Linked DNA regions of Macaca fascicularis. The protein of the gene in region 2 interacts with the protein of the main gene of each other region in a pairwise test. Links are inferred from orthologs where the notes say so. Each region holds a gene or a part of one and is shown on either strand. Other genes may lie near its edges. The genes, in order: IMP3, ZYX and NEBL.

Region 1 (10,178 bases), on a different chromosome or scaffold from region 2:
GCATCTCTAAGACTGAATATACGTTTTCCCCACATGCTTTTAGGACCCCGCTTCCCTGTGATCTATCTTCTGTCCACATAGCCTTTCTCTAAACTGAGTTTAACAATAGCATCAGGGCCGGGTGCAGTGGCTCACACCTGTAATCCCAGCACTTTGGGAGGCCAAGGCAGGTGGATCACTTGAGCTCAGGAGTTTGAGACCATCCTGGGCAACATGGTGAAACCCGTCTCTACTAAAAATACAAAAATTAGCTGGGCGTGGTGGCGTGTGCCTGTAGTCCCAGCTACTCAGGAGGCTGAGGCAGGAGAATCGCTTGAACCCGGGAGGCCAAGGTTGCAGTGAGCCGAGATTGCACCCGCCACTGCACTGCAGCCTAGCGACAGAACAAGACTCCATCTCAAATTTTTTTTTTACTCCACTTTCCCCACCAGCTATTGCTCCATTCCTCTGCTCACCTTTGCAGCAAAATTCCTTGAAATAACTCTCTCTCCTAAGTGCGTCCAATTTCTTTTCTTCTGTTCTCTCTTTAAATCCCTCTAGCCAATCTTTTACTCCCACACTCCACTGAACTATTCTTGTCAAGGTCATCAATATCCTTGGTGTTGCTGGACCCTAATGGTATTATTCTCAGTCCTTCTCTTATTTAACCTTTTGGTAGCATTTGACCTGGTTGATCACTCCTTCCTCCTGGATACACTTTCTTCATTTGCATTGGAGAGAACATACTCTCCTGATATTCCTTCTACCTCACTGGTTCATCCTCTTCTCTCCAATAATTCTTTTTTTTTTTTTTTTTGAGACGGAGTCTCGCTCTGTCGCCCAGGCTGGAGTGCAGTGGCCGGATCTCAGCTCACTGCAAGCTCCGCCTCCCGGGTTTACGCCATTCTCCTGCCTCAGCCTCCGGAGTAGCTGGGACTACAGGCACCCGCCACCTCGCCCGGCTAGTTTTTTGTATTTTTAGTAGAGACGGGGTTTCACCGTGTTAGCCAGGATGGTCTCGATCTCCTGACCTCGTGATCCACCCGTCTCGGCCTCCCAAAGTGCTGGGATTACAGGCTTGAGCCACCGCGCCCGGCTTTTTTTTCTTTTTTGAGACAGAGTCTTGCTCTGTCGCCCAGGCTGGAGTACAGTGGTGTGATCTCGGCTCACTGCAAGCTCTGCCTCCCGGGTTCATGCCATTCTCCTGCCTCAGCCTCCCGAGTAGCTGGGATTATAGGTGCCTGCCACCATGCCCGGCTAATTTTTTGTACTTTTAGTAGAGACGGGGTTTTGCCATGTTAACCAGGCTGGTCTCGATCTCCTGACCTCGTGATCCGCCCACCTCAACCTCCCAAAGTGCTGGGATTACAGGCATGAGCCACGGTGCCCAGCAAGCCTCCTATAATTCTTAACATTAGAGTAACCACAGTAGAGTTGTCCTCTTGTCTTTTGTATCCGCAGGCACTCCTTTGATGATCTCATCCAGCCGAATGACTTCAAATACCACTCATTCTAGTAATGCCCAATTTTTAAAATCTCCAGCCCTTTTTAAAAAAAACTCCTAACTCATATATCTATTTCTCCTTGACATCTCCCCTCAGAAGTCTAATGGATGCCACCAACCCAAAATGTCCAAAATTGAATTTCTGAACCAGGTGTGGTGGCTTATGCTTGTAATCCCAGCACTTTGGGAGGCTGAGGTAGCAGGATCGCTTGAGCCCAGGAGTTCAAGACCAGCCATGACAACATAGTGAGACCCCATCTCTACAAAAAATTTAAAAATTAGCGGCCGGGTACAGTGGCTCACATCTATAATCCCAGCACTTTGGGAGGCCGAGGTGGGCAGATCACCTGAGGTCAGGAGTTCGAGACCAGCCTGGCCAACATGGCGAAAACCCATCTCTACCAAAAATACAAAAATTAGCCAGGCGTGGTGGCAGGTGCCTGTAATCCCAGCTACTTGAGAGACTGAGGCAGGGAGAATCGCTTGAACCTGGGAGGCGGAGGTTGCAGTGAGCCAACATCACGCCATTACACTCCAGCCTGGGCAAGACTCTGTTTCAAATAATAATAATAAAATAAAAAATAAAAAATAGTCGGGCATGGTGGCATGTGCCTGTAGTCCCAGCTACTCAAGAGGATCGCTTGAGGCTGGAAGGTTGAGGCTGCAGTGAGCCCTGGTTGTACCACTGCACTCCAACCTGGGCAACAGGGTGAGACCCTATCTCAAAAACAAAAACAAACAAAAAACATAAGTGTCAATCCTTTGCTCAAAATCCCGAAGTATCTGCCTCTCAACATAAAAGCCAAAGTCTTTTCAAGGGACTACAAGCTCTTTAATCTCTTCCTCTCCTCCTTGCCCACTCTGCTCCAGCCAAAATAGCTTTCTTATTCTTCTGACATGCCAGGCACATTCCTGCCTTAAGGCATTTCCACTGTTTCCTCTTCCTGAAATGTTCTCCCTCTAGATATCCACACATGGCTTACACCCTATAAAATATCACCTTCTCAGTAAGACCTACTCTGGGGCCGGGTGCAGTGTCTCATGCCTGTAATCCCAGCACTTTGGGAGGCCGAGGTAGGTGGATCACAAGGTCAGGAGATGGAGACCATCCTGGCTAACACAGTGAAACCCCATCTCTACTAAAAATACAAAAAATTAGCCAGGCGTGGTGGCGGGTGCCAGTAGTCCCAGCTACTCAGGAGGCTGAGACAGAACAGCTTGAACCCAGGAGGCGGAGGTTGCAGTGAGCCAAGATCATGCCACTGCACTCCAGCCTGGGTGACAGAGCAAGACTCCGTCTCCAAAAAAAAAAAAAAAAAAACCATTAGATTTTAAAAAGCAAATGATCTGTATTAGTTTTCTGTTTTAGAGACAGGATCTTGTTCTGTTGCCCAAGCTGGAGTGCAGTGGTGTGATCATGGCTCACTGCATCTTTGAACTTCTGGCTTCAAGGGATCCTCCCCCTTCTTACCCCGAAACCCCCACCAGTAGCTGGGACTATGGGTGCTGCCACCATGCCTCGCTAATGTTTTTTTTTTTTTTTTGTCCACAGGGACTGAGTATTACTATGTTGCCCAGGCTGGTCTTGAACTCCTGGGTTCCAGTGATCCTCCCACCTTGGCCTCCCAGTGTTGGGATTACAGGCATGAGCCCCATGCCTAGCCTGGTGATGTTTTCTTAAACTGGCTAAATTCATGAGTATTTATTATACTTTATAATTTACATATTATGTTTATTATTTTCCAGATATCGAATTTTTTTTAAATATATATATTTTTTGAGACAGGGTCTGGCTCTGTTGTGCAAGCTGGGGTGCAGTGGCACCATTGTAGCTCGCTGCAGTGTCCAAGTCCTGGGCTCAAGTGATCCTCCCACCTCAGCCTTCCAGGTAGTCAGGAATACAGGCACACACCACCATGCCTGGCTAATTCTTTAAGAATTTTTGGCCGGGCGCGGTGGCTCACGCCTGTAATCCCAGCACTTTGGGAGGCCGAGACGGGCGGATCACGAGGTCAGGAGATCGAGACCATCCTGGCTAACACGGTGAAACCCCGTCTCTACTAAAAAATACAAAAAGCTAGCCGGGCGAGGTGGCGGGCGCCTATAGTCCCAGCTACTCGGGAGGCTGAGGCAGGAGAATGGCGTGAACCCGGGAGGCGGAGCTCGTAGTGAGCTGAGATCCGGCCACCGCACTCCACCCTGGGTGACAGAGCGAGACTCCGTCTCAAAAAAAAAAAAAAAAAAAAAAAAAAGAATTTTTACAGAGGCAGGATCTCGCTTTTATCTTTTCTTTTCTTTTCTTTTTTTGCCTAGGTTGGTCTTGAACTCCTGGCCTCAAATGATCCTCCCACCTCAGCCTCCCAAAGTGCTGGGATTACAGGCGTGTGCCACCGCGCCCCACCCAGAAATATTGTATTGTAAAAGACAATGAAAAGCATACAAAACAAAAATGATCAGTGAGAAGTTAAATGCCTGGGCAAAAAGGGGTTAGGTCTGCAGCGCTACACCAGATGTAACTTACAGCTGCAACTAGCCGAAACAGCATTACATTTGTTAACTCAATACTTGGTGGCCAGAAATTTATGTCAGGATAATTCATTTGAGCACAGACTAAAGGGTTTGGACTTGTACTTATAGTCCAAGTTTCTCAAACTTGCTGGGTTTTATGAATCATCTGACACCTTAGTTAATAATACAGATGTCCAGGCGGCTCCCTTATAGATCCCGATTATAATGTGCGCTTAGGAAGCGGCCAGGCAATCGGGATTTCATGGGTTCGGTGCTACCCAGCCCAACGTGACAATGAGAGATCGCTCTGCTTGCCAGGTGAAGGACCTGACGCTGGCGGGAGGCGGGGACTACCAGGTCAGTCCCAGGACAGCCGGCTCCGGCAAGCTCCCCCACGGCATGGCAAGAGCCCAGTGGAAGTTAGCACAGTAAACCCAATCAACAAGCCGCAGTCACCCTTCTTCCCCAGAAATGGCCTCTTCAGCTCTTGCGGGGGAGACTCTGAAAGTCCCCAAAGGACAGAAGTCTAGGAGGAAATGATTGCCGCACAAAGGGATACAGTCTTGGCTACTAAAAACCCCGCGTAGCCGCCTAGGGACCCGCCCCCCCGCGCAATGCTTCTACCCCCTCCCTATGCAAACGCGCAGAAAAGAAACGCGAGATCCCAGTGCTTGGGCGTGGTCCCACCCTGGCCAATGGAAAATGAGGGCGTGACTTTAAGCCTTTCTTTCATTGGCCCAGGGTCCCAGACCGTCCAGGTCTTGGTGCGCCGCGGCGGAAATCGCGCGGGTACTGAAACGCACTATCTGCTTCGGGTCCTGGTGCTGCGGCTGCCGCCATCATGGTGCGGAAGCTTAAGTTCCACGAGCAGAAACTGCTGAAGCAGGTGGACTTCCTGAACTGGGAGGTCACCGACCACAACCTGCACGAGCTGCGCGTACTGCGGCGTTACCGGCTGCAGCGGCGTGAGGACTACACGCGCTACAACCAGCTGAGCCGTGCGGTCCGTGAACTGGCGCGGCGCCTGCGCGACCTGCCCGAACGCGACCAGTTCCGCGTGCGCGCTTCGGCCGCGCTGCTGGACAAGCTGTATGCTCTCGGCTTGGTGCCCACGCGCGGTTCGCTAGAACTCTGCGACTTCGTCACGGCCTCGTCCTTTTGCCGCCGCCGCCTTCCCACCGTGCTCCTCAAGCTGCGCATGGCGCAGCACCTTCAGGCTGCCGTAGCCTTTGTGGAGCAAGGGCACGTACGCGTGGGCCCTGATGTGGTTACCGACCCCGCCTTCCTTGTCACGCGCAGCATGGAGGACTTTGTCACTTGGGTGGACTCGTCCAAGATCAAGCGGCACGTGCTGGAGTACAATGAGGAGCGCGATGACTTCGATCTGGAAGCCTAGCGGATCTCCCACTTTCCATGGCTGTCTTTTACAGATGGGAAAACTGAGGCCTGATTCTGGAGATTCTATGAGGGTGCTTTCCCCAAGGGTGTCAGATGGTCGTAGGTTCTTAAGAACTTGATTCATCAGTGGCAGGCCTTGCATAGAGCCACGGGAGATGCGTCCTTGTTTTCCAGGAAATGTTCTTAGAACTTGGACTACTGATTATTAATTGACTCTGCCTTGGAAAGCAGTGGGAAGTAAGTTGGTGCTGCACTGGGGTATTGTTGGCTTCTTGTGTTGGAAACTTGGTAATCTAAAAGGAAAAACCGCAAATCCCTACGCCCTGTTTCCCTTTATCTAGTCTTGTAGTTGGACTGGTTCAATTCGTTTAACTCCAATTCTTGCTCCTGGCCGTGGTTAAGCTGTGTACAGATGATGGAGAGTTTGGCCTTAAGTTTTTATAAACTGAGCGAGACTAGTGTTCAGGATCTCCTCCCTTGTTTAAATGCCAATAAATGCCCCAACTGCTTTGTAAGTGCAACTTTTTAATCTGTCTGGTTTTCCTTTATTTTCTCTAGAGATGGAGTCTCGCTCTGTCACCCAGGCTGGAGTGCAGTTGAGCGATCTCGGCTCACTGCAACTTTCGCCTTCCGGGTTCAAGCAATTTTCCTGCCTCAGCCTCCCGAGTAGCTAGGATTATAGGCACCCGCCATCGCGCCCGGCTAATTTTTGTATTTTTAGTACAGTCAGGGTTTCACCATGTTGGCCAGGCTGGTCTGGAACTCCTGACCTCGTGATTCGCCCGCCTCGGCCTCCCAAAGTGCTGGGATTACAGGCATGAGCAAACTGTGCCCAGACTCTGGTTTTCTTATATAGAGTCATATTTATAGGTCCTAGGAGCCCAGAGAAGAATAGGGTCAGCAGCGAGCGATCTGCCTATGGATGAGATGTGCAACAGGGGCCAGATGTGGAGGATGCAGGATGTTGTACAGGATTGGGCAAATTTGTCACTTTACCAGTCCCTTCCTTGGAATGAGTGTTTTGGCAGAGCTCTTCCTCACATAACTTCCTGTTGATATTCCAGCCCCAGGAAATACCGTATTAGAGGGCTGGGATGTTTGCTTGCCTAAGGAAATAATCACCCTGTAGCTTGGCCATCTAGCGGTTAGAAGTGGCCTGGGAGGTTCCTGAAAATTTAGATGACAGCAGTGATAGAGAATTAGAAGGGAGACTACCAAGTTTTACTCAAGATTTCTTTATTATTTTTTTCTTTTCTTTCTTTTTTTTTTTTTTTCACACAAGGCCCGGACTGGAGTGCAGTGGAGCTGGCACAGCTCACTGCAGCCTCCATCTCCTGGGCTCAAGCCGTCCTCCCACCTCAGCGTCCCCAGTATCTGGGATTATAAGCATGTGCCACCACACTTGGCTAGTTTTTAATCTTTGTAGACACAGGGTTTTGGTATGTTACCCAGGCTGATCTCAAACTCCTAAGTTGAAGCAATCCTCCTGCCTCAGCCTCCCAAAGTGCTGGGATTACAGGTGTGAGCCACCGTGCTTGGCCAGGTCCTCTAAAAGGAGAATAAATAGGATGCTGAGATCAGTGGATTGGCTTTTAGGGGTTCCTTGTTCGCTTCCCCAGGTGAGGCAGCATTTGGTGAAGAAATGATGTAGAGAAGGGGACTTACTACATCATGGGATGATGTCATACCAAGTACTTCTGCTATATGTCAGCCCCATTTTTAAGTGCACCACCTGTATTGGCCCATTTCAACCTCCCAACAATCCTATAAAGTGGAAAATCCAATTCTCAACTTTTCAGATGAGGGAACTGAGGCAGAGCTGGGTCAAATTACCAAAGATTATGTAGCCAGTAAGCAATGGACTGGGACTGTGTCAGTATCAGCACACCCAGCCCTTGGTGTGTGTCAGAGTTCAGAAAGAGTCTCTGAACTTGAATTTACAAACCAGCAGAGAAAAGCAGCAGCACTAGACAATGTGATCGGTCTCCACAGGATGCTGTATAAAGGTGTGAGGAGGGAGCAAACATTGTACTGGGAAGGCTTTAAGGAAAAGGTGATATTCAAGTTAGGAAGGGAACGAACTCTCATCTAGGCCCTGCTAATGCTAGGCTGCCATTCACTCTTACCAACAACTCTGCAAGGTAGTTGGTGGTATCTGTAACTTCAGTTTGGGAAACAATTGGAATAAGAACTTGTCCAAGGCTAGGTTTCAAGTCCAGTCTCACGTGACTCCAGAGGCCATGTTTATTTCAGTGCTGTCCCTTTAGAAGTGGAAGGAGAGAGAATCCTGCTCTCCAGCTCTGGTGGCTGGGCATAGTCTGCCCATTTGGAGGAACATCCTCAGGACTCCCAAGATTGTGGATCTCATGGAGGAAAAGAAAGTGACTGTACAAGGCAGGACCTCTGTGGCCCTCCAGACCCACAAGGCATGGCAGATAGATCAGCCCCCTTGGAGTAATTGGATCCTGCACCCATGACCCAAGCAGATAAAAACCTCAAAATTCAGGCCAGGTGCGGTGGCTCATGCCTGCAATCCCAGCACTCTGGGAGGCCGAGGCAGGCAGATCACTTGAAGCTAGGAGTTTAAGACCAGCCTGTCCAACATGGTGAAACCCCGTCTCTAGCAAAAATATAAAAATGAGTCGGATGTGATGGCACATGTCTGTAAACCCAGCTACTTGGGAGGCTGAGGCAGAAGAATAGCTTGAACCTGGGAGGCAGAGGTTGCAGTGAGCCGAGATCATGCCACTGCACTCCAGCCTGGGCAACAGAGTGAGATTCCGTCTCTAAATAAATAAATAAATAAAACAAGAATAAAAGCTTTAGACTTAAGAAAAAAAATCTGCTAGGCATGGCGGCTCACGCCTGTAATCCCAGCACTTTGGGAGGCTGAGGCAGGAAAATTGCTTGAACCCGGGAGGCAGAGGTTGCAGTGAGCCGAGATCGTGCAACTGCACTCCAGCCTGGACAACAGAGCAAGACTGTCTCAAAAAAATAAAAAATAAAATAAATAATCACTCAGCTAGCTAATAATGGCTACCCCGACAGTGCTTACTATACCCTAGGCTTTGTGCTGTCTCATGTAGTCCTCACAACAACCTTATGGGCACTATTGTGGCCATTTTATCGCTGACAAAACTAAAGCTCAAAGATAATAGCTTACCTGAGTCACAGAGTTAGTGATGGAGGCAGGTTGCACCTAATTCCCTCTGGCTCTGGGTTCTACAATTTTAGCCACTCAGTTACACCGGGAGTGAGCCTACTATGGCTTAGAGCAGTGGTTCTCAAACTTGAGCATGCCACATTTGAACCTTGGGAAAGATTGTGAAAACAAATGCTGTCTCCACTCCCTTCATGTTTCTTTCTTTTTTTTTTTTTTTTCTGAGACGGAGTCTTGCTCTGTCGCCCAGGCTGGAGTGCAGTGGGTGGATCTCAGCTCACTGCAAGCTCCGCCTCCCGGGTTCAGGTCATTCTCCTGCCTCAGCCTTCCGAGTAGATGGGACTACAGGCGCCCGCCGCCACACAAGGCTAATTTTTTGTATTTTTAATAGAGACAGGGTTTCACCATGTTAGCCAGGATGGTCTCGATCTCCTGACCTCGTGATCCGCCCACCTCTGGCCTCCCAAAGTGCTGGGACTACAGGCATGAGCCACCGCGCCCGGCCCCCTTCATGTTTCTGATTCAGGAGGTCTGGGGTGGACCTGAGAATTTGCATTTCTAACAAGTTTCCAGGTGATTTTGGTGCTGCTAGTCAGGGGACCACACTTTGAAAAGCACAGGGCTTGTTCCTAGCCCAGTGCTTGGCACAGAGCAAACATCACACAGATGCTGCATCCTATTCCAGCACCAGAGGGGCAGAGAGGCTGCAGGGACTTCAGGGAAAAGGGGTCTTGCCTGCCTCTGACTTGCTGTGGGACTAGGGGCATAAGCTGCTTCTCTCTCTAGGCCTCCCTCCATCTCCCTTCTATGATAGGAAGAGGCAGGATGAGATGGCTCTAGTTTCTGCTCTGTTTCTGATTTAGAGAAAAGGATATAAAAGAGTGCTGTCAACACTTGCAAAGTAGAGAAAAATTTAGAGGTGCTTTGCTGCCCCAACAATCCCCAGCCCTGGCTCAGGAAAGCTGTGCAATCTTTAGGACAAACCTTGGTTTTAACATCCAAGAAAGGCTGGATGCAGTGGCTAACGCCTATATTCCCAGCACTTTGGGAGGCCGAGGCGGGTGGATCACCTGAGGTCAGGAGTTCCGGACCAGCCTGGCTAACATGGAGAAACCTCTACTAAACATACAAAGAAATCTCTACTAAACATACAAAAAATTAGCCTGGTATAGTGGCGGGCCCCTATAATCCCAGCTACTCAGGAGGCTGAGACAGGAGAATCGTTCGAACCCAGGAGGTGGAGGTTGCACTGAGTCGAGATCAGGCCATTGCACTCCAGCCTGGGCAAAACTTCATCTCAAAGAAAACCCAAAAAAAATCCAAGAATGGGTCCCAACTTTGAAGCCCCTGGGCAGTTTGTAAAGGACATTTCCCCCCTACCTGGGGCCAGGCTGCTTCCCTGCATGGAAGGGCAAAGTCTCAGCAGAGATGAACCAAATCACTCACTCATTCAGCAAATGAGCTGAAAATCAGGAGTGAAAGTAGACCTCTTAAAATATAAGGCAGGGGCCAGGTGCAGTGGTTTACGCCTGTAATCCCAGCACTTTGGGAAGCTGAGGTGGGAGTATTGAGCCCAGGAGTTTGAGACCAGCCTAGGCAACATAGCAAGACTTTGTCTTTACAGGGGAA
Region 2 (10,727 bases):
CACCTCCGCCGGCTAAGCCCGGAGGGGGACTGTGAGTCAGATCTCGGGCACCCGCGGGTCGGGCATGGGGGGAGGGCAGGTCAGGAAATGACATCAGAGGCCTGTGCTCAGGGAGCGGGGGTCTGAGCCGGGCCGGGGCGGCGGGGGCGGCAGTGAGTGGAGTGGGGTGGCGGCGGGCGGACCTCGGCGGAGCCTCTGGCCTGAGGCAGGATCAGGGCCCCTTCCTGGGGGAGTTTCCTGCCTGGTCCGCCCTTCCCCGCTCTCCCCGCCCCCTCTCCGGGCCGCTCCTTGTATGGTCTGGGCGCCGCTCTCTCCCCGCCCCCTCCCTCCTCCCTCCCTCCTCCTTCCGTGTGTCCCTCCCCGCCCGGCTGGAGGCTGCTCCGGACTGGGACGCAGAGTCCGTGGACCCGGCGCCGAGGAGGCCACCCGAGACGCGGCGCGCACGCTCCGGCCCGCGGTGAGGTGCGGGGAGCGGCAGGGCGGCCCCACGGGGAGGGGGCGCGGGGCGCCGGGAGGGGGCGCATGGGGGTCGCCAAGGGGAGCTGGGACCGCCCGGGGCTCCTGAGCCGGGCTCTGCGCTGCGTAACCCGGCGACCCACCCCAGCAGCCCGGCCCGGCCATGGCGGCCCCCCGCCCGTCTCCCGCGATCTCCGTTTCGGTCTCGGCTCCGGCTTTTTACGCCCCCCAGAAGAAGTTCGGCCCTGTGGTGGCCCCAAAACCCAAAGTGAATCCCTTCCGGCCCGGGGACAGCGAGCCTCCCCCGGCACCCGGGGCCCAGCGCGCACAGATGGGCCGGGTGGGCGAGATTCCCCCGCCGCCCCCGGAAGGTATGCGGCGGGGCTTGGGGGCTGGACCCCAGCGGGCGCCGGAGGGGGGGCACTGTTTCGGGAATCTGGGGATGTCTGGAAAGGTTGTTGCCTAGGGGGCTGGGCGCAGCCACCCTGTCCCGAGCAGATGTTCTTACCTCATCGTGGAGCTCGTGGCTGGGAGCCAGAGCTCCTGGGACCGTTCCAAGTCCCCCGCTTGGGGGTGGGAGGCGGGAATGTGGGGCACGAATCTTCCCCTCCGGGTCCGTTTTCCGAAGTGTAACGGGAGCTGCACCACTCCTCGGCCGTGCCCCCGGCCTTTCCTGACCTGGTACTCCCAGGGCGCCCTGCGCCCCGCCTTTGCGTCCCCACACGCTCTGGGACCCTCGAGAGAATTCTTGGGTTAGGGGTTAGAGCGGTAAACCGAGGGGAGCTTGGGTGAGGGGCAGAGGGACCCCGGGCGACGTCTTTCTCCTTCCTACCCCAGACTTTCCCCTGCCTCCACCTCCCCTCGCCGGGGATGGCGACGATGCGGAGGGTGCTCTGGGAGGTGCCTTCCCGCCGCCCCCTCCGCCGATCGAGGAATCATTTCCCCCTGCGCCTCTGGAGGAGGAGATCTTCCCTTCCCCGCCGCCTCCTCTGGAAGAGGAGGGAGGGCCTGAGGCCCCCATACCGTCCCCACCGCAGGTATGGAGGCCTGGGAGGGGCGGCTGTACCGGACACCCCCAAGGCGAGGAGAAGAGGGCCCTTTCTTACCTCCCCTGCACCTCTGCCTTGGGGGTGGGGGGAATGGAGGCATGGAATAGGTGCTCTGACCTCTGACCCTCTAGCCCAGGGAGAAGGTGAGCAGTATTGATTTGGAGATCGACTCTCTGTCCTCACTGCTGGATGACATGACCAAGAATGATCCTTTCAAAGCTCGGGTAAGGGACCGCAAAGTAGGAAAAGCAGGGCCCAGGGCCAGAGAGACAGGGGATAGAGCTATGGAGGATGGTGTCCTCCTGTCTGCATCTCTCTTCCCTCTCCCACCCCTTGCAGGTGTCATCTGGATATGTCCCCCCACCAGTGGCCACTCCATTCATTTCCAAGTCCAGTACTAAGCCTGCAGCTGGGGGCACAGCACCCCTGCCTCCTTGGAAGGCCCCTTCCAGCTCCCAGCCTCTGCCCCAGGTTCCGGCTCCAGCTCAGAGCCAGACACAGTTCCATGTTCAGCCCCAGCCCCAGCCCAAGCCTCAGGTCCAACTCCATGTCCAGTCCCAGCCCCAGCCTGTGTCTTTGGCTAACACCCAGCCCCGAGGTCCCCCAGCCTCATCGCCAGCTCCAGCCCCTAAGTTTTCTCCAGTGACTCCTAAGTTTACTCCCGTGGCTTCCAAGTTCAGTCCTGGAGCCCCAGGTGGATCTGGGTCACAGCCAAATCAAAAATTGGGGCATCCCGAAGCTCTTTCCGCTGGCACAGGCTCCCCTCAACCTCCCAGCTTCACCTATGCTCAGCAGAGGGAGAAGCCCCGAGTGCAGGAGAAGCAGCACCCAGTGCCCGCACCGGCTCAGAACCAAAACCAGGTAAGGGATGGTGATAGGACAAGGCTTGGGACCCGGGTGCTGGGGCGGGGCTGAGTCAGGAGCCAGAACAGAAGCATGAAGGTGATTGGAGAGTCAGGGTGGACACGGGGGTGGCGGGACAGGAAGTTTCATCCTCTGAGGTTAGCCTGGTGGAACAGTGGTAAGAAAATGCTCTTCTGGAGGAGAGGCCTGGCTGGGTGTGGGGCTGGGTGGGGCCTGGCTGGGAGGGCACAGAGAGCACAGGCTCTGAATTAGGAGGATCTGGTGGACCTTTCCTTGCGCCTTTACCCCAGAAAGTTAAAGGGAGGGATGAGATCACCAGTCCCACCTTGGTTTTTCCCATTCTTGGGTCTTGAGTTAATCTCCCTGCTCCTCTGAGCACTCTTTCTGCCTGAGGGCTTGGAGATAAGAGTCAGCCCCAGTAAACATTGGCTGAGCCAGCATCTACCACGTGCCAGGCACTGTGCTCTGTGCTCAGGAGGGTAGGACATGGGAAGGACGAGATCTCTGCAAGAAGCTCAGCCTTCAGGTGTCAGATGGACCTGGAATGGAATTCCTGGTTCGGGCTTCTCCCAAGCCCTTAGACTGGGCAAGTTAGGTGAACCCTGAGCCTCAGTTTCTCAATCTTTAACATTATCTACTCCATACAGTGGTTGTAAAGATTAGGTGAACTAATAACCTAGAGAGTGTTGGGTTCTGTATCTAGCACATGAATGCTCAAAATACAAAAGCTGTAATTACAAAATGGTTCTTGCCTTCTAGTTCAGGAAATAAGACCTTCCAGTTTCTGGTGATGATGATGCTGGTCCAAGCATCCATAGAGTCCACTGATAGTGTGGATGTCTACTTACACTCAGACACAGCATAGGAAGAAATGCCAAGGACCAGTGAGCTTTGCAGAATCCTGTGAGTCACAGGCACTCAGACCAGGAAGTCCACTTGGGGCCTGGCAAATTAGGAGAGGCTTCGAAGGATGGGCAGGACGTAAGAATCCGGAGAGGAGAGGGATGTTTGGAGAGCAGAAAGTGGAAGGTTCCTGTAGGAAAATGATGGAGCTGTACTTGGAGAGGCAAGCGGGGCTGGAGGGCGTAGGAGGTGAAGTGGTTCACCCAAGGAGCTCTTGAGCACTGGAGAGGCATCATGATTTTTTTTTTTTTTTTTTTTGAGACGGAGTCTCGCTCTGTCACCCAGGCTGGAGTGCAGTGGCCGGATCTCAGCTCACTGCAAGCTCCGCCTCCCGGGTTCACGCCATTCTCCTGCCTCAGCCTCCCGAGTAGCTGGGACTACAGGCGCCTGCCACCTCGCCCGGCTAAGTTTTTGTATTTTTAGTAGAGACGGGGTTTCACTGTGTTAGCCAGGATGGTCTCGATCTCCTGACCTCGTGATCCGCCCGTCTCGGCCTCCCAAAGTGCTGGGATTACAGACTTGAGCCACCGCGCCCGGCCACATTCATGATTTTTGAGTAGGTGCAGGGTGGGTCAGGAGGGCTGGTGAAAGCAGTGTTTTTGGAAGCTTTCTGGAAAGTTTCACCAGCAGAGATGTGTATTCGAGGGAAGTCAGTGATGGGTATGAGTTCACTTTTGGGCAATAGTAATATTAGCTGCAATGAATATTAAGCCCCGCATGTGAGAGCTGTGTGCCAGAGCTGTTGGGAAGGCACAGCCTCCAGGACTTAGCCAGGGATAAGCAACTGGAAGACAAGGGTGAGGGGAAGAGGAAAAACAAAGTCTCCAGGGCGATTTGGAGATTGGGGGTGTGGGCGGATGACAAGATTGCTGACAAAATAGAGAAGTCCAGAAGGGGAAATGGTTTGGACGGGAAGAGGAGGGGTCCAGCTGTCAGCGTATTGAGCAACAGGTCCCAGGAGAACTTTCAGCTGGGGCCGTCATTCAGTTAGAAATTCAGGGCCAGGTTTCAGGACAGGGCCAGAGATGTCTAGCATGGTAGTGGGACACAGTGACACTGTGACGCTGGAGGGTCAGGGTCGGAGCTGAGGAGCTTCCCAGGGAGTACAGACAGCAGGGACTGGGAGGTGTGGGAAGAAGAGTCAGGAGGAGAGTCAGGGTGCACTTGGAGAAGAAAGCTGAGCCCTTCAGCGGGGTATTTGAGGGAGTGAGGACTCAAGGCTAGAGATTAGACTGTTGGGAAATCATCACCGGTCTTGGGATGGCCTGTTTGTGCCCTGTAGTGGGAACACAATGTGAGGAGTTGAGGAGAGAGTGGGTGGTGAGAAGTGGGGCTACTGGTGTAGCCTGGTCTTAAAGATTGGCAGGGAAAAGGACTAAGGGAAGGACTGTGTATCAGTGATGTGAGTGTGGTGTGTGTGTGTGTGTGTATATGCATATGTGAATGTATGAGTGGCGCATGTGTGTGAATGGTGTGTGTGTTAGTGTGTGGGTGTGGGTATGGTGTATGTGTATGTGAGTATATGTGCATGTGTGAGCATGAATGTATGAGTGGCATGAGTGTGGTGTGATTGTGTGAAAGTGTGTATATGAGTATATGTGTGCATGTGTGAGCTAAGGTGTGTGCATGTGTGAGTGGTGTGTCAGTGTGATGTGTATAGTGTGTCATTGTGTATATATGTGTGAAAGTATGCATAAGCGAATGAGCACATACATTCATTGTATATATATGTATGAATATGCACAAGCGAATGAGCACATACATACTTTCACACATATACACACAAGTGGTGTACGTGTATACATGTGCGTGTGAGTGGTATGTGTGGTGTGGTATATCCTTTTTTTTTTTTTTGAGACGGAGTGCAGGCTGTCGCCCATGCTCACTGCAGCCTCCACCTCCCAGGCTCAAGCGATTCTCCTGTCTCAGCCTCCCAAGTAGCTGGGATTACAGGCACGTGCCACTACACCTGGCTAATTTTTGTATTTTTAGTAGAGACGGGGTTTCACCATGTTGGCCAGGCTGGTTTTAAACTCCTGACCTCAAGTGATCTGCCCATCTTGGCCTCCTGAAGTGTTGGGATTACAGGCGTGAGCCACCGTGCCTGGCTTGGTGTGGTATATCTGAATGTGAGTGTGCATGTGAGTGGTGTTTGTGTGTGTGGTATGGTATATGTGTGAGTGTGAATGTGTGTAGTATATGTGTGAGTGGTGTGTGGTGTATGTATGTGTGCATGTGAGTGGTGTGTGGGTATGTATGTGTGAGGGTGTATCAGTCTGTGGTGTAGTGTATGTGGTTTTTGCAAGTTAGGGGAGAAGGGCTCGAGTACGTGTGTAACCCGGGGAAGCAGGTGATGGAGGGTGAGTGTTGTGGGAAAGCAGGGTCAGCCTGCTTCAGTCCTTGGAAGAGATCTTGGTGATGTCTCCTCCCCCTAGAGGCATCCCAGACAGCAAGGACAGAGTGGCTGCAGTGTGGATAGGAAGGACGATGAGGGAGCTTAAGCTGGCTGGCTTCCATGTCCTCAGCCATGTGGGAGGTGAGGTCATGGTGCCAGCAAGTGGGTGAAGCAGGTCGCGGCTAAGAAGATGGAGAGGTCTGGAACAGCTGTTGTGGGGAAGCCGGGCTGGAGGTCGTGCGGGCGCTGCAGTGTTGTGAGCTCACTCTGCAGTGTTCAGCGACCTCTCCACTGCTTTTTGCAGCTTGGAAGCAGAAACAGGAAGCGGGTGGTGGTGTGACTTGGGGTGGAGACTGGGCTGGATAGCTGCGGGTGGCTGCAGGTGCCCGGAGGGACAGTGAACCTTGTAGGAGTACATGGTCAGGGGACCAGGCTGGGGCATGGTGGACAAAGTCCAGGGGTGGGTTGCGGGTGGGGGAACTAAGGCTTTTCTGGGTTCGCGTAGTAGGTGTGGATGGGGAAGAGGAGAGGCAGATCATGGCTGGCAGGGGACTTGGAGGTAAATCTGAGGTCAAGGATGTCCCATGATGGACGATGACTGAGTTGGAGGGAAGGTTGGTTTGAAGCGGTGGCATTGGTGCAGGCTGGCAGAGGGGACAGTTCTGGATAGAGGGTCCTGATGAACGGGGATACCCATGGGAGGTGATGCACATGAGGATTCTGTGCTTCTGAAGGAGGAGCCAGGCATTTAGAATGGCACTGGAGAGCAAGGACTGACGAGGCCCTTCACTCTGTCCCCGAGATGCCAGGAAGGGAAGACTGGAGGAGACAAAGTTGAAGTGAGTGTTCCAGGGAACGAGTCAGTTAAGAGATGGCAGGATCTTAAGGGAAAATGGCTAAGATCTGGGGAGTTGGACTTCTATGGACGCATGCTTCACTGGGCAGAAAGGATGCAACTCTGGGTACAGATAGGGGTCAGGGTGAGGGGCAGTGAAGCCAGGGCTGAGGGGAGAGGGGCTATGGAAGGAGGTAGCAGGGGAGCTTTGGAGGTTCCAGGTGTTACGGGAATGAAGGCATCCGCAGGTAGCACACTCGGTGATGGGGACATGGTCCTGGGTAGGCTTTTCCAGACATAGAAAAGACCCACCCAGTGCACTTGCTCCTGTGGGCGTGCAGGTCAGACAGCCCCTCCTGGAGTTCTCAGGGTTACCTCTCAGGGTTACTGGCGGCGCTGTCCTTCATCCACTCCCCACCCCAGTCCCCAGGATCCCCTGAATGGAAAGGTTGGACTGGCCTAGGGGACGGCCTTTGGACCTTCTCTGAGGCTGCTGGGGAGGGACCTGAGTAAGGTAGTCCAGAAGTCCCTCACTCGAGGGACAGGGTCTCTGTGTGGGGGTGGGGCTGGGTTCTTGCAGACAGCTCAGTGGGTTTAACCTGCAATTCCTGCCTGTGTTGTATCCCCACGCTGACAGGGGCTGCTCAGCAGCAGGCAGGCCGGGTAGGTGTGTGTGCGCGTGTGTGCACGCTGTTGCGTGCCCCTGTCCCATGGGGGTGATGTCCGAGCATGCTCTGTGGAGTTGATGCGTGGCCCTGGAGTGTCTGGTGCTTCAGTGACCCGAGCTGCTGTGTGCGTGGCCTCCGTCTGCTCAGTCATTCTGGCCTGTCTGTGACTGCTCAGGGGGTTTGGGCAAAGCGGGCGGAAATGTCTTGCTGTACGAGATCCAGGCTTAGGTCCTCTTCCCCTGTTATTTGTGTGGTGCTGGGGATGGCGGGGGTAGGGGGACAAGGGAGAAGCTTTAAGGGTCAAGCCTGAGCATCTGGGACATGAGCTGGGAGCTAAGTCCTCATCGGAAGAAGCCGGGTAGGCTGGCCTGGGGGGGTGGAGGCAGCAACCCTCGAGAGTGTGAAGAAAGTGTTGGGATTGCAGGTGCGCTCCCCTGGGGCCCCAGGGCCCCTGACTCTGAAGGAGGTGGAGGAGTTGGAGCAGCTGACCCAGCAGCTAATGCAGGACATGGAGCATCCTCAGAGGCAGAACGTGGCCGTCAACGGTGAGCCCACCCCACCGGGACAGCCCCACCCTGCCCCCTATCCGAGCGGGCTGATCCCTCACAGCCCTACATACTTCCTTCTATTTACTGCTGTCTTCTCCGGCTTTCCCAGAACTCTGCGGTCGATGCCATCAACCCCTGGCCCGGGCGCAGCCGGCCGTCCGCGCTCTGGGGCAGCTGTTCCACATCGCCTGCTTCACCTGCCACCAGTGTGCGCAGCAGCTCCAGGGCCAGCAGTTCTACAGCCTGGAGGGGGCGCCGTACTGCGAGAGCTGCTACACTGTGAGTTGGGCTGTGCTGGGCAGTCAGGCCCTGGAAGCTGGCTGTGGGGTGCCAGTTCCCTGCCAACCTCCTCCTGCTGCCTCCTCAGGACACCCTGGAGAAGTGCAACACCTGCGGGGAGCCCATCACCGACCGCATGCTGAGGGCCACGGGCAAGGCCTATCACCCGCACTGCTTCACCTGCGTGGTCTGTGCCCGCCCCCTGGAGGGCACCTCCTTCATTGTGGACCAGGCCAACCGGCCCCACTGTGTCCCCGACTACCACAAGTGAGGACCTGCCATCTGCCTTCTGGGCTTCTGCCGCGCTTGGTCTGGTAGTCACCCTAGCATCAGGACAGCCCCAAACCCTTGGTGTTGCTTTCTGGTCCCATGTCCTGTGTGTAGACAGCAGGGACCAAGTCATCTGGATGTAGCTGTCCAGGGGCCTTAGGCCTGGACATCGAGTCCTGCTGCTGGCTGGTCCCTCCCTCGTCCTTGATCACTGAAGCTTATTGTGTGTCTATGTCAGCATTTCGTGAAGTGTGCTGGAGTGACTTCATTTCACACAGGCTGGGTTCTAAAAGTTCTTCTGGAGATCAGCTGCTTGGAAATCTGGTTTCTCCTCAGAAACAGTGTTTAGAAGGTGACTCCTTTTCCAGGCTGACCCACAGAACCTCAGTGCAGCTGTGGGAACAGTGCAGAATCTGACCCCCACCTCCAGTGGGGGTCAGTGTTTGGGCAGACACTTTTAGGATTCCACCTGGGGTGGCCACAACTTCACATCCCTCCACAGTGCCAGGCAGTCAGGGCAGAGGCAACATGCGTTGGGGTGGGTGGATTGGGGGAAGGTGAGGGTCAGGGAAGCAGGATCGGATGGGAGGGGTACCTCAGGGCTGGCTTTCTGCAGGAGCTGCAGTGTGAATGGGACAGTAAGGATCTAGTGGGAGAGAACACCGTGGCAGGTGTGTGGGAGGATATCTTGCTTTGGGAGAGTGACTGGGGAGGCAGGAAACTCCCTTTGATGAGGGCCAGTCATGGTGGCTCAGTCTTAGGCCCTTCTGGTGAGCTTCCTCCACCTAGAGATGCAGGGCAGAGAAGTCTGCCTCCTGGCTGCACAGCCTGGCTTCTGTGTGTGCACACAGGGGATGAAAGCCCTGGCTAACTGCTGGCCCTTTCTCCCCCTTCAGGCAGTACGCCCCGAGGTGCTCCGTCTGCTCTGAGCCCATCATGCCTGAGCCTGGCCGAGATGAGACCGTGCGAGTGGTTGCCCTGGACAAGAACTTCCACATGAAGTGTTACAAGTGTGAGGTCAGCCATCCCTCTGGGCTCCTTGGGCTGGTTCCGACCAGGAGGTGGCGGGAGATGCTGCTTACTAACTGGGTGGTGGAAAGCGCCAGCATTCAGGAAACAGGGCTGTGATTTTGAGGGTGGCTCATGATGGCAGCCCATCTGCCCTGCCTGAATCCTTCCTGCCGCTGCAGGAAACAGGGCTGTGGGACTTCTGAGGTCACTTTGAGTCATGGATAAGCCAAGAAACAGGACAAGCCAATAGGAGGGAAGGGCATGGTGTTTTACTGTGGTAGGGGATGGGGAGACAGGAGTTGAGAGAAGAAGTCTTCGAATGGAGGTGAGCCAGGATGGAAGAGGCCCCCAAACCTCTCTTTTATTAGGGCGGTGGCGGGCAGGGGAGCAAACACCTTGGAAGCAGTTCTACCCACTGCTTGCCCTCCTGCAGGAAGGTGCTAGTGGGTGACTGGAAGCAGGATAGGGATGGGGAGTTGGGTGTGGCTGGAAAATGCGATGACACCAGCTGTGAGCCATGAAGCATCTTTCTAATTCCACGATGGAGCTGCACGGGGTGGGGTAGGGTGGAGCAGAGCAGGGGCCTTCTGGTCCAGTGCCCCTCACCCTTCCTTCTTCCCAGGACTGCGGGAAGCCCCTGTCGATTGAGGCAGATGACAATGGCTGCTTCCCCCTGGACGGTCACGTGCTCTGTCGGAAGTGCCACACTGCTAGAGCCCAGAGCTGAGTGAGGACAGGCCCTCTTCAAACCGCAGTCCATGCCCCATCGTGGACCACCCACACTGAGACCACCTGCCCTCACCTCAGTTATTGTTTTGATGTTTAGCCCCTCCCATTCCCGACCCCACTCTAGCATCCCAGGTGCCCTGACCCAGGGCCCAAGATGGCCTAGGGATGCTGGGTCCCCACCCTGGGGTCTAGTCCTCGCCCATCCTGCAGGGATTGCCCACCGTCCTCCAGACACCCCACCTGAGCGGGGCACCAGGTTTAGTGTTGCTGCTTTCACTGCTGCACCCACGCTCTCGGCCAGCCCCCGGAGCAGCCTTTGTACTCTGCTTGCGGAGGCTTGGGAGATGCCCTGACCCTCCAGGACATTCCCACCCTCCCCCGTGCTGCCAGGTTGTAGCTATAGCTACAAATAAAAAAAAAAAAAAAACCTTGTTTTCCAGAATTCTCAGTAGTCAGCTCTTTTGTAATGCCTACAGCCCTCGTGGGTGGGATGGAGGCAGAAAATCAGTTCCTGTTTATTTACAAAAATATATGTGTATGTATGTATATATATTAACCCCTCACCTCCCTCCCATGATCATCCTTTTACTTCTACCCCCACCTCCCTTTTAAAACAAAGAGGTTTTCTGGGGTGCAGAGCAGGGTTCTCCTGACAGTGGGCAGGAGCAGCACCGAGAGCCTAGTCTGGCAGGTTGTGGGAAGGGGCGCAGGGAGTGACCA
Region 3 (10,727 bases), on a different chromosome or scaffold from region 2:
GGCAAGCAGGGTTGCCATAAACCTTCAGTTTGTAAAAAATTCGGTATCTGCAAAGCACAATAAAGTAAAGCACAATAAAAATGAGATATGCCTGCATTACTGCCTTTATTTTACAGATGAGCAAACTGGAAAAGTTGAGCATTCTCAGTGTCACACAGCTGGTGAGTGCTGTGGCCTCCCAAGTTCATCTGTTCTGTATAACATCAGCTCATTTACATCCACCTCCCTATCCTCCAACCCTAAAGACAATTGTCAGTGAAGATTTTCACATGGCAATTGCCCTTGTATACCAAACATCTTTGGAGCTTTGCACGCCCTTCTTCAGTGAGAACAAGATTATCGTTCTAAGTAGTTCAGAAAATTTAGTTGTGAGTGATCATTCGTAGTACTCAAGGAGCTTTGTTACCTCTTTTGTAAAATAGGTTTAACTATTTTTTTTGGTATCATTGACTGCAGATGCATGTTTGCCCACTGAGTGTTTGAATGTTGTAACATGTCTTTTGCAGAAAGAATACAAGAAAGATCTGGAGTCAATAATTAAAGGGAAAGGAATGCAAGCTGGCTCTGACACCCTTGAAATGCAGCATGCCAAGAAGGCTGCAGAGATCGCGAGTGAGGTTAGTAGGGTGCGTGATGCAGGCCTTAAGACTCATATTGTGGAACCTAACAAATCGTATTAGCAACTTGATTACTATATGGAATTTCTCAAAGCGTTGCGGCTGGTTTAACAGTTTGGAATGGAGACTATTCCACAGCATTATGCCTGTTTGAAAATGTACAGTTTTTGCTTTGCTCACATCCCTCCAATATATCAAAAAAAGCTTGGTGGAAGGCATTTTAGTTGAATACACACACACGCACACATGCACTCCCCTGCACACCTTACTTCAGAATACAACAGATTTAATGGTTACCTGGGCTATGAGAAATGTTTTCATGGTATTTTTAATGGATCACCTGCTGCTTGGCATATCTGTATTTCCAAATTTCTGAGCAGAACTTCATATACGGATGCTTAATGTGAGTACAACTATCATTTCTGTCTGATTGCATGTTCTTAAAATAGCCTTTGTTGACATGATCAGCATGCATGAAATTTCTACACAGCATTTTGAGTGGAGGTCTTATATAACCTGATTGACCATGTTCATTCATCTAATACCATTTTTCTCTTCATGGGATACAGGATATTGATTTAGAAGTTTTGTCTTAAATTCTGTGACAGGATGGATATCACATCACAAGGTTGTAGGAGTCGGACCATATACATGTATTTCAAAGGAAATACCCTAGAACTTTCTCTACACCTCTTGAACTTCCCCACAAAAATCTGAGAATATAAAAGGATCACTGGAGTAAAGATTTGGGTTGTGATGATTTTATAAAAGTGTATGTGAAGAAAAAATTGGGATGCAGGTGAATGGGTCCTGCTCACTTATCTCAAGACTGGGTGGGTGGGGGCTTCAGTGGGGTACTCTGAGACCTGTTGTGTGACCTTTGCACTTAGGAAGAGCTGACTCAGGACTGACACCTTACAGGAAATCTGGAAGGCTAGAGGTAGCTGCTTAGCTGCTACGGAAGTTACTGTTGTTTTAAAAATGACTGACATCCCCAGGGTTAGGTACTGACCAGGGAAATGGGATTGCCATGATTGAATAAGACAAAGGAAGTGGAGATGGTATAGGTTTCCTAAGCAATAAGTGTTCCATTTTGAAGTGGTGGCCAGGGGTGGATGGCCAGGAGCGTGAGGAACAGGGACTTTCCTACTTCTGTTCTCCCAAGAGATAGTCATTGTTATAAGTTTGTTATGGAACCTTCCAAATCTGTTTTGTGTTTATATAGATAAATATATACTTGTACACACAAAAACTTAAAAAAATCTTAAATGGGGTCATACTCCATTTAAGTGTTTGATTATTTTCTCTCTTTATATTATGGATTTTTTTTCTGTGTTCCTTCATATAGGTCTACCTCATTCTTATAGAAAAATTAAGTGTTCTATAACATGGATGTGAATATGTGACCCTTTATCTTTTGTTGTCTACAAGGGAAGTATATAATGGGATCTCAACATTACAGGCCAAAACTAGAATCCTTAATTTTCCCCTAGGTTAGCTTTCCTCCATCTGCTTCCCAGCAAATGGTACCAACCAAAGCATAGAAGTCACTTTGATTCCTGTCATCAGCATGCTTTATTGATGTCACCCCCATCGTGGCAGTCTAAATCCATCTTTCTCACCACCCTAGTCTAAGCCACCATCTCTATCCTCTAGATCATTGCCATAGCTTCCTAACCAGAATTCTGCTATTATTGCCTTCCTAGTAGCCATTCTCAACCCAGCAGAAGAATCCTTGACGGAATTAAATGAAATTTTGTTCCTCTCCTCACATGCAATTATTTAGTGGTTTCCAGTCACATCCAGTGTAAATTGATTCATCTGGCTCTGGTGAAGTCTCCATTCTCAGGCTGAGAGTCTTAGTCAATAAAAACCCCCCAAATAATAATAATAATAATCTAATCATAGTCATGTCCCATTTTGCCTAAATGATAGGCTCAGATCCTTTTCAACCAATGTTTGGGACTTTGCCAGAGTTTGTTTTTAATATCGAAAGTTTATTTTTCAAATAAAGTCAATGGATCATATTGTAACACAAATGACCCTCAATAGTCAAGCCTTCCCATAGCTCTGGGTTTGACCATGTGACTTTCTTTAGCCAATGAGACATCAGCAAATGTGACTCAGACAGAGGCTATAAACACACTTCTGCATTAGGGTTTGCCCTCTTTGAACACAGATGCTGCCATGTTGTTGTTTTAAACCTTCTAAGTTTTGGGGTGTTTTGTTATGCAGACAACAAATAACTGATGCCAAGGGTGTCTAATGTAGTCTGTGTGCTTTAGAACACATTTACATTTGAAAGTTCATATTGGAAAATTGTTACATCCTTCTACCATTGGACCTTCATGGCTGTCTGCTATGAGTGCTTCAGTTTCATCATATTTGTTGGCCTTCAAATGAAACATTTTGTTTTGGGGCTTTAAACAGGCTGAAACAGAGTGCTTTTTATAGACATAGTAATAATTGAATATTATTATTTTGAAAGTTAAACATAATTATGTAAACTTTTATTTAGAAAAGTGATACTGGGAGTGTAAGTCAGTAAAAATGGGAAGAGTTATGAGTGGAAGACAGGAGGAAAAATACTCCAAGATTGACACTTTTGTTTACCACCTATCTAAATTTGATGATCTATTAATAAACAAACCAATATTTACTTTGCAGCAGAGAATCTACAAATCTGGAGTGTGTCAGCATAATAAGAAAGAATTGTTTTAAAACAAATTTAATTGGCTATAGTTAATAGTTTTTTAATAACATTTTTCTTTGAAGAATAATATACATATAGAAAATGCAAATTTATATATGTACGGCTTGTTGAATTTTATAATCAGTTTTCAAATGTGACAAAAGTCCCTAAGGACATGTGTGTCTGTGCAATTATGACTATCTTGTAAGAAATAGGTAATCCAATTCCAAACTGGCTTAAAAAAAAACGCAGATAACTTATTTGTTGTTCTTATGATTGAACGGTAGAGAAATTCCTGGGCACGGCTTGATCTAGGACTCAAATAATGAGATTTAGTTTCAGCTTTCAGTTCTTAGGTAGACATTCTTGTTTGCAAAGAAGCTTCCAGCACCTCTTATGTGGAAAAAAAGATGCATGCATCCTGGAACCAATTCTGCAGTGTGGGTGATGGGGTATAATGATTTAAGTCCAGCAGAGCCCAGAGACTTGGGCCAGTTTCTGGATGGTTTAGGAGGGAGAGCATTGAGTTGTCTAGTGGCAAATCAGAGAGCCAGTGAAGGGAGTAATGATTTATTTAAGCCCAGCAGAGTCCAGAGATTTGAGCCAGTCTCACCCAAGCTGGATGGTTTAGGAGTAGGAGCACTGAGTTGTCCAGTGGCAAGTTAGGGAGCCAATGAAGGGAAAAGAAAGGGTGGATTCCGGGGAAACAGCCAACACGTATTCACTACAGAGTGAAAAACAGCAAGCCGTATATGACCCAATAATATATCCAGTTTATCATAATGAAATGTTAAATTTTCCCCTTGGCTAGCTCTGTTTTTCTTCTTCTTAATTCAGATTAGCAGAAAAAAAGTCTTCTGATTACTGGTGAATAAGTTATGCTAAGTCATAGTCCTACCACAAGTAAAAACTCTTTCTTATTCTATAGAAATAAAAGAAATAAGGATTCAACTTCATTCCAAAAGACATGGTCTTGCTGTCAAATAACATCTCGATTTTTGAGTCGTTTTTCAAATGATCGGAGAGCACTAACTGTGTGTTTCATTTTCTGCAGAAAGACTATAAAAGAGATCTGGAGACTGAAATTAAAGGGAAAGGGATGCAGGTGAGCACAGACACTCTTGATGTCCAGAGAGCTAAGAAAGCATCCGAGATGGCCAGCCAGGTAAGACAGCAGTGAGATACAAAGTTTAAAATAAATGCCGTGAATCATAGCTAGAAAGAGCATAAGTGTTCTTTTCACATGGGTGGCTTTGAGATTCAAACACGTAAATGTCAACATTGCTATTAAAGCTTAAGCAAAGTTCTAAGATCATTTTCTGTTCTTTTAGAAACAATACAAGAAGGACTTAGAAAATGAAATTAAAGGGAGAGGAATGCAAGTGAGCATGGATATCCCAGATATCCTTCGAGCCAAGAGGACATCTGAAATCTATAGCCAGGTTGGTCAAGAATGAAGATGCTCAGAATCATGTTTTCCAATGTCATGTTGCCATGTGCTTTGTATGTCTCTATGAATGATATCTTTCTGAGGGTATTGCATTCAGAGTTAGTATACTCTTTCACTGAGAAACCATTGGCCAAACTTGATTAACCTTACTAATGAATAGGACAACTGTCATAGATTCAATGCAACAGACATTAAGGAGAGCTACAGTCTCTCTGTTGGGGCTCCTTGTTTTGAGTCCAAGGACATTAAAACTTTTTTTTTTTTTAATTTTAGAGATGGAGGTCTCACTCTTTCACCCAGGCTGGAATGCAGTGGCACCATCGTAGCTTGCTGCAACCTCAAACTCCTGGGCTCAAGCTTATTTTCTTGCCTCAGTGGGCATGAGCCGTTGTGCCCAGCCCAAGGATATTTTAACCTTTTCTTTCTTTCTTTTTTTTTTTTTTTACCCTATTGGACACTTGGCTCAAATGCTTTTGCTTATACCACAGAAAAATAAATTACAAGCTATTTGTCTTTTAACCATTTCATAATGAATATTATTATTAAAATGGTTCCAAATAAAACTAACAGTGACTAAAGCTGCACAAAGTACAAGGTGAAGTTTAGTGTTAGGTAAAAATTGAGGGAACAGTGAAGTTTTCTTGGTAAAATTTAGATTTGTTAAAGATACTTGTCCCATATTCTGTAAACAAAGCTGGATGTGGGAGAAGTAATGACCACAAAAAGTATTTATGGAAGAAGAATTTATTTATAAAATCTGACTTGGGCAAAAACATTCATTAGCAAATAGTATCCTTGCTGTAACATTTACTAAAATAAATGACTCCCAATGGGAAAAAAAATAGTAGAAGGAATGAACAAAAAGAAAATGGTTATATAAAATTGACCATAGAATTTAATTTGATTAATGGAGTTTATGCAGGAAGGAATGTGTAACAACATTTGGCGAAATTTGTTAAAATTCTGATTAAGACATAAGCAAGGACATTAACCATCCACTAGTTCAAAAGGGTAGTATCAAGATGGCAGCGTCAAATGTCAGAGGACTTGTGTGCCTATCAGCCTCTGCAGACGACACAGCCACTGGGATGGTCCTGAAGTGTGTGTTCTTCTGTTCTCGGTGTCCATGAACTTGGAGACATTGGCTCTGGCCATATCAGCTGAACTAAAATCCTACGTCAATACATTAAACAGGCAAATGGACATTTGAGTCAGTGGAGAAGAGTTACTTACTGTCTCAAGAATGCCAAACTCATTCCTTCAGTTGGTGAATACCTCCTGAGTACCCATTTGCATGCAAAACCAGACATGACTTTGCCCTTGGAAAGCTACAGACAAATCTAATAATCATGTAAATATAGTGTTACAACCATGATAGATACACCTGAAAGTAAACGTATTGAGAGTGAAGGTGCCTGAGCTGTCAGATTTCCTGCCTTAACTTAATAGCATAGTTTTTTTTTTTTTTTTTTTTTTAGTGTGACGTGAGACTATATCTAATTTTAAGGGATTTTAATCACTGAAATACAATGGGGATATTAAGAGTGTGTAATGAAGCCTGGTGCATTTCGACATGAAAAGTAGTTACCTTTCTTAATAAGCAGTAGTTTGCCAGAATAGTTAACTTCACTGATTTTGGAATCAGCCTGGTTTTAAGTTGCAGCTCTGATACTTACTATCTAGTACCTCGGTTTCTCCATCTATAAGATGGAAATAATAATAGTATCTGCTTGTCAGGTTGATTAAATGAGTTAATGTGTGTTAAGTATTTAGAACAATACCCATTACATAGTAAGTAAATGTAAGTGCTGGTACTAGGATAAGATATTGCCTGGGTTGTATTAGAACTCATAGTAGCTGGTTTAGTGGAGAGAAAATTAAGATTTTAATCTCAACTTCAAAATACTGGTAACTTTCCCTTAATCAAATCTATTTTCACCTGAAGTAGGAAACAAAGCATAAATCTAGAAGCCATGTGGTATGGTAGAGATTGAAGAATGGTATCATTCCCTCTCTCTCTCTCTCTCTTTCTCTCTCTCTCCCCCTCCACCTCCCTCCCTCCCTCCCTCCCTCCCTCCCTCTCACACGTGCACACACACACAGTTTCAGATTTATATTAACTGTTTTTATTTTTAGAGAAAGTATAAAGATGAAGCAGAGAAGATGCTTTCTAACTATTCTACCATAGCAGATACTCCTGAAATTCGGAGAATTAAGACAACTCAACAAAACATTAGTGTGGTGAGTAGCCATTATTTCTTTTCAGTTGCCACCTTGAAATTTTGTTTTGTAAGAAATGGTCTTTTTTCCTCATTGTCTGATGTTTTCTGCTGTCTTACTTGAATTTTCTGTCAAGTGTATTATCTTTATTTCTTTAAAATAATAAGAATACTGATAATTTTTACAAATTATCAATTTTCATGTTTTTTTGGAATTACAAATTCAAATTTCCCTCTGATACAAATGACAGTTAACTAAATTTTAAAATTTAACTCTGGAAAGAAGTCTTAGTCTTCTACACAGATTTTACTTAGAAGATGAAAATGGTCATATGAAGTGATTTTATTCCTGGTAATTGATTGTTTTTACTAATAATATATTTAGCGATTTACTCATTCTTAATAAATTTCTAAACTTATATATTTTTATTTTGAGGAAGAGGAATTGCATTGGCACTATTTTTTTTTTAGCTTTTAAGTTCAGGGGTATCTGTGCAGGTTTTTACATAGGTAAATTTGTGTCATAAGGATTTGTTGTCCAGATTGTTTTGTCACCCAGGTATTAAGCCTAGTACCCATTAGTTATTTTTTCTGATCCTCTCTCTCCCCTCCTACTTCACCCTCTGATAGGCCCCTGTGTGTGTTGTTCCTCTCTATATGTCCGTGTGTTTTCATCATGTAGCTCCCACTTATAAGTGAGAACACGTGGCATTTGGTTTTCTGTTCCTGCATTAGTTTGCTAAGTATAATGGCATCTGGCTCCATCCATGTCCCTGCAAAGGCCATGATCTCATTCTTTTTTTATGGCTGCATAGTATTCCATGGTTTGTATGCATGACATTTTCTTTATCCAGTCTGTCATTGATGGGCATTTAGGTTGATTCCATGTCTTTGCTATTGTAAATAGTACATCAGCACTATTAATTAAGAGACTGGGTCCATGATTAATAAATGTATAAACTTGACTTCTGTTCTAAAATTGTAAAAATTGACCATACAACTAATATTTTAACATAGAATTAGCTCAGTCATTAATAGTTAAGCAAGCATCTCATCAAAATATAAATTCTAGTAAGTGTGAGGACTTCTGGAATATTTCCTACCTCCTAATTAGTTGGCATGTGCCAGCTCTCAGGGTAAGCTGGTCAGGTGCCTGCTGGGTCTCCACAGGGATGGCCAGTCTGTACTGAGAAATGGAAAAGTCTTACTGGAAGGATCAGGAAAGGAGGCTGTGTGATTCCATAGTGTTCTAGAGTTCTAGCCTTTGGAGGAAAACATTTCTCCTACAGTGCTCTCCCACCCGTGCGGGGGCCACTGGATTACCAGATGTCAAGAAAGGCAGTGATTCTCTCCTCATTTGTCTTTCTTATAATTACTCTGGTTTTCTGCAGAGTACTCATAATGAGAGCACTCATAAATACTCTTGTGTTTTTGTTCTGCTTTGGGTTTGGAAGGAGTAGGTGTTACTGGGGGTGGAGACACATGGGAGAGGGTTAACAAATAAGTGGAAGATGAAGAAGATAGACTTGAAATTAACATTGATATTGACGATGAGCTAACATTTTCTTGGAAGAGAATATGGGCATCCTTGTGTTTGGAGAATAGAAGTTGCCTAAAATGTCATGCTCTTTTTGAATTCAGTGATAATGGCTTAATGGGCTTTTGTAATATCTGCTTTTTCTCAAATACACGTGTGACATATATTTATATTTGAAGAAAGGAACTCTGGTTTGTCAATGTGTATTCTTAAAGCAAATAATCTGTAGTCAGCCATGGTAGCGGTCTAGCCCTAGAGCAGGAGAGGGTTACTTGTAAGATTATGGGATATAAAACCAAAGTTTTAATGGATTATTTTAATGGATTATTTACTATCTTAATGGATTATTTAATTGGTTTCTATAATTCTGGCACTCAGATGCGGTATTCGTATTATTATAAAACCTGAGAAAATGTCTTTTTCAGAAGCAGATCTAGGACTTGAATTTGACAAGCTTATTCTTTTCCTTTTCTTATAATAAAGATATTTTATAAGAAAGAAGTAGGAGCTGGCACTGCAGTAAAACATACCCCAGAGATCGAACGAGTGAAGAAAAATCAGCAGAATATTAGTTCAGTAAGTTCTCTACAGCATTAATTATCTTTTCTAAAAGCAAACAGAAACTGTAGACAAATGTTTTTAATTCTTTACTCAACTGATGGCTTTTTTCCTTTTATTCTTCACTTTATTGAAATGCTATTTCATCATATATCAAAGATCTAACTGTCAGAACAAAAACTATATCCTTGTTCCCCTTGACTCTGAAGCAGTATTTCATTCTGATGTATCACAGTGAAGAAGAGCCAGGTCATTTTAATGAAACTTAGGATTAGATTTCATCTCTTTGAAGAGAATTTTAACTCTATTAAATTTTGCAGAGAAAGGGTACATTTCAGTACCTCTCCACAAGTTGGAAGAAAGAAATTTTTCCCTGATAGAATGATTAAAGGCCCTAGAACATTTATTTGGCAGCTTAAGTGAAGGTTTAGATTTGAAAAAGCAAATAGTACCAATTCATTTTTAACCCATGTCAGTCACATCTCTAAGCTTTTTATCAGACACACTTCTGTCCATTTCTTCTTTCCAGCCCCTTTTACCTTCTGCTTCTTCCAGCAAAAGTGAAAACAAATCACACATCTTCACTGTAAATTGTGAAATAACTTACCTTCCAATAACCTTTAGACTTGGGGGAAGGGTCCCCTTCTGTTAGAAGGGTGCTTCTAACATTAAGGTGCTTAATGTTATGGATAAGTTTTTTTTTTTTTTTTTCCATGGAGTGTTTGACATTTGCGATAGATCATTGCTCTCCTTACCAATTAGATATTCTCCCATGTATATTTAGTACATTGAGTTTCTTTTCTTTTTCTTGAGACAGAGTCTTGCTTTGTTGCCTAAGCTGGAGTGCAGTGGTGCAATAGCTCACTGCAACTGCCTCCCGGCTTCAAGTGATTCTTCTGCCTCAGCCTCCTGAGTAGCTGGGATTACAGGCACACACCACCACGGCTGGCAAATTTTTTTATTTTTATTTTTAGTAGAGATGGGGTTTCACTATGTTGGCCAGTCTGGTCTCGAACACCTGACCTCAAGTGATCTCCCACCTCAGCCTCCCAAAGTGCTGGGATTGTAGGCATGAGCTACTGTGCCTGTCCATTACATTTAGTTTCTTGTTGAGGAAGTGAAAATAATTGGTTCTTTAAATCCCTTCCTCTGCCTTATCTCTTCACCCTTACCTTTGGAAAGAGTTCCTTCCCTTTAAGTAGTCCAAGCAGAATGGCCTTGATTAGACTCATTTGTAGGTCACTTGGTCATTATGTAGCATCCTGAGAATATCAGCGTGGGTCAGCATTTGTGAAGAAAGTGTAGGAGAGGTAAGAGAATGAAATAGTAAAGCTATTTCAAAATAAAAGTATAAAAAGTCTGCAGAATATCAGTGCAATAAAACCTCTGTAGCATGCATGGAGCTATCTCTTGAAGAAAGCATAAGGAGGTCCTAGGCTTAAGGTGTGGATGAAGGTCGATGAATGTGTTCTTCTTATCTTTCACGGTGAGAGCCTGTGTTAGCCTAGTAGAGAAATTAGTTTGGGAGAGAAGTATAAAATATTCATTCCTTCACTTTCCAATGATAATATTTAAAATGCACCCATCGATGTACTGTGATTTAATATTATAAATATTCTGTAGTATGCAATTCTATAGACTATAGTGAAATAAC

Evidence for each region.
Region 1: the proteins of ZYX (region 2) and IMP3 interact in binary tests that used the Homo sapiens proteins (3 or more experiments, as listed by UniProt). The link is inferred for Macaca fascicularis from reciprocal best matches to the Homo sapiens genes ZYX and IMP3.
Region 3: the proteins of ZYX (region 2) and NEBL interact in a two-hybrid assay, tested with the Homo sapiens proteins (2 studies listed by BioGRID and IntAct). The link is inferred for Macaca fascicularis from reciprocal best matches to the Homo sapiens genes ZYX and NEBL.

Annotation. Positions count from the first base shown.
Region 1 is NC_088381.1:52,860,947-52,871,124, reverse strand, and holds IMP3 (U3 small nucleolar ribonucleoprotein protein IMP3), read left to right. Parts: upstream 1-4,799; 5' UTR 4,800-4,832; coding exon 4,833-5,387; 3' UTR 5,388-5,910; downstream 5,911-10,178. UniProt on the Homo sapiens protein: Component of the 60-80S U3 small nucleolar ribonucleoprotein (U3 snoRNP). Required for the early cleavages during pre-18S ribosomal RNA processing. Part of the small subunit (SSU) processome, first precursor of the small eukaryotic ribosomal subunit.
Region 2 is NC_088377.1:185,244,925-185,255,651, forward strand, and holds ZYX (zyxin), read left to right. Parts: upstream 1-392; 5' UTR 393-462; intron 463-604; 5' UTR 605-619; coding exon 620-827; intron 828-1,293; coding exon 1,294-1,493; intron 1,494-1,636; coding exon 1,637-1,729; intron 1,730-1,844; coding exon 1,845-2,366; intron 2,367-6,401; exon of another isoform or gene 6,402-6,506; intron 6,507-7,139; exon of another isoform or gene 7,140-7,165; intron 7,166-7,594; coding exon 7,595-7,715; intron 7,716-7,827; coding exon 7,828-7,997; intron 7,998-8,085; coding exon 8,086-8,264; intron 8,265-9,163; coding exon 9,164-9,284; intron 9,285-9,900; coding exon 9,901-10,005; 3' UTR 10,006-10,449; downstream 10,450-10,727. UniProt on the Homo sapiens protein: Adhesion plaque protein. Binds alpha-actinin and the CRP protein. Important for targeting TES and ENA/VASP family members to focal adhesions and for the formation of actin-rich structures.
Region 3 is NC_088383.1:21,658,386-21,669,112, reverse strand, and holds part of NEBL (nebulette), read left to right. Parts: intron 1-506; coding exon 507-617; intron 618-4,363; coding exon 4,364-4,474; intron 4,475-4,640; coding exon 4,641-4,751; intron 4,752-6,895; coding exon 6,896-7,000; intron 7,001-8,998; coding exon 8,999-9,091; intron 9,092-10,727. UniProt on the Homo sapiens protein: Binds to actin and plays an important role in the assembly of the Z-disk. May functionally link sarcomeric actin to the desmin intermediate filaments in the heart muscle sarcomeres.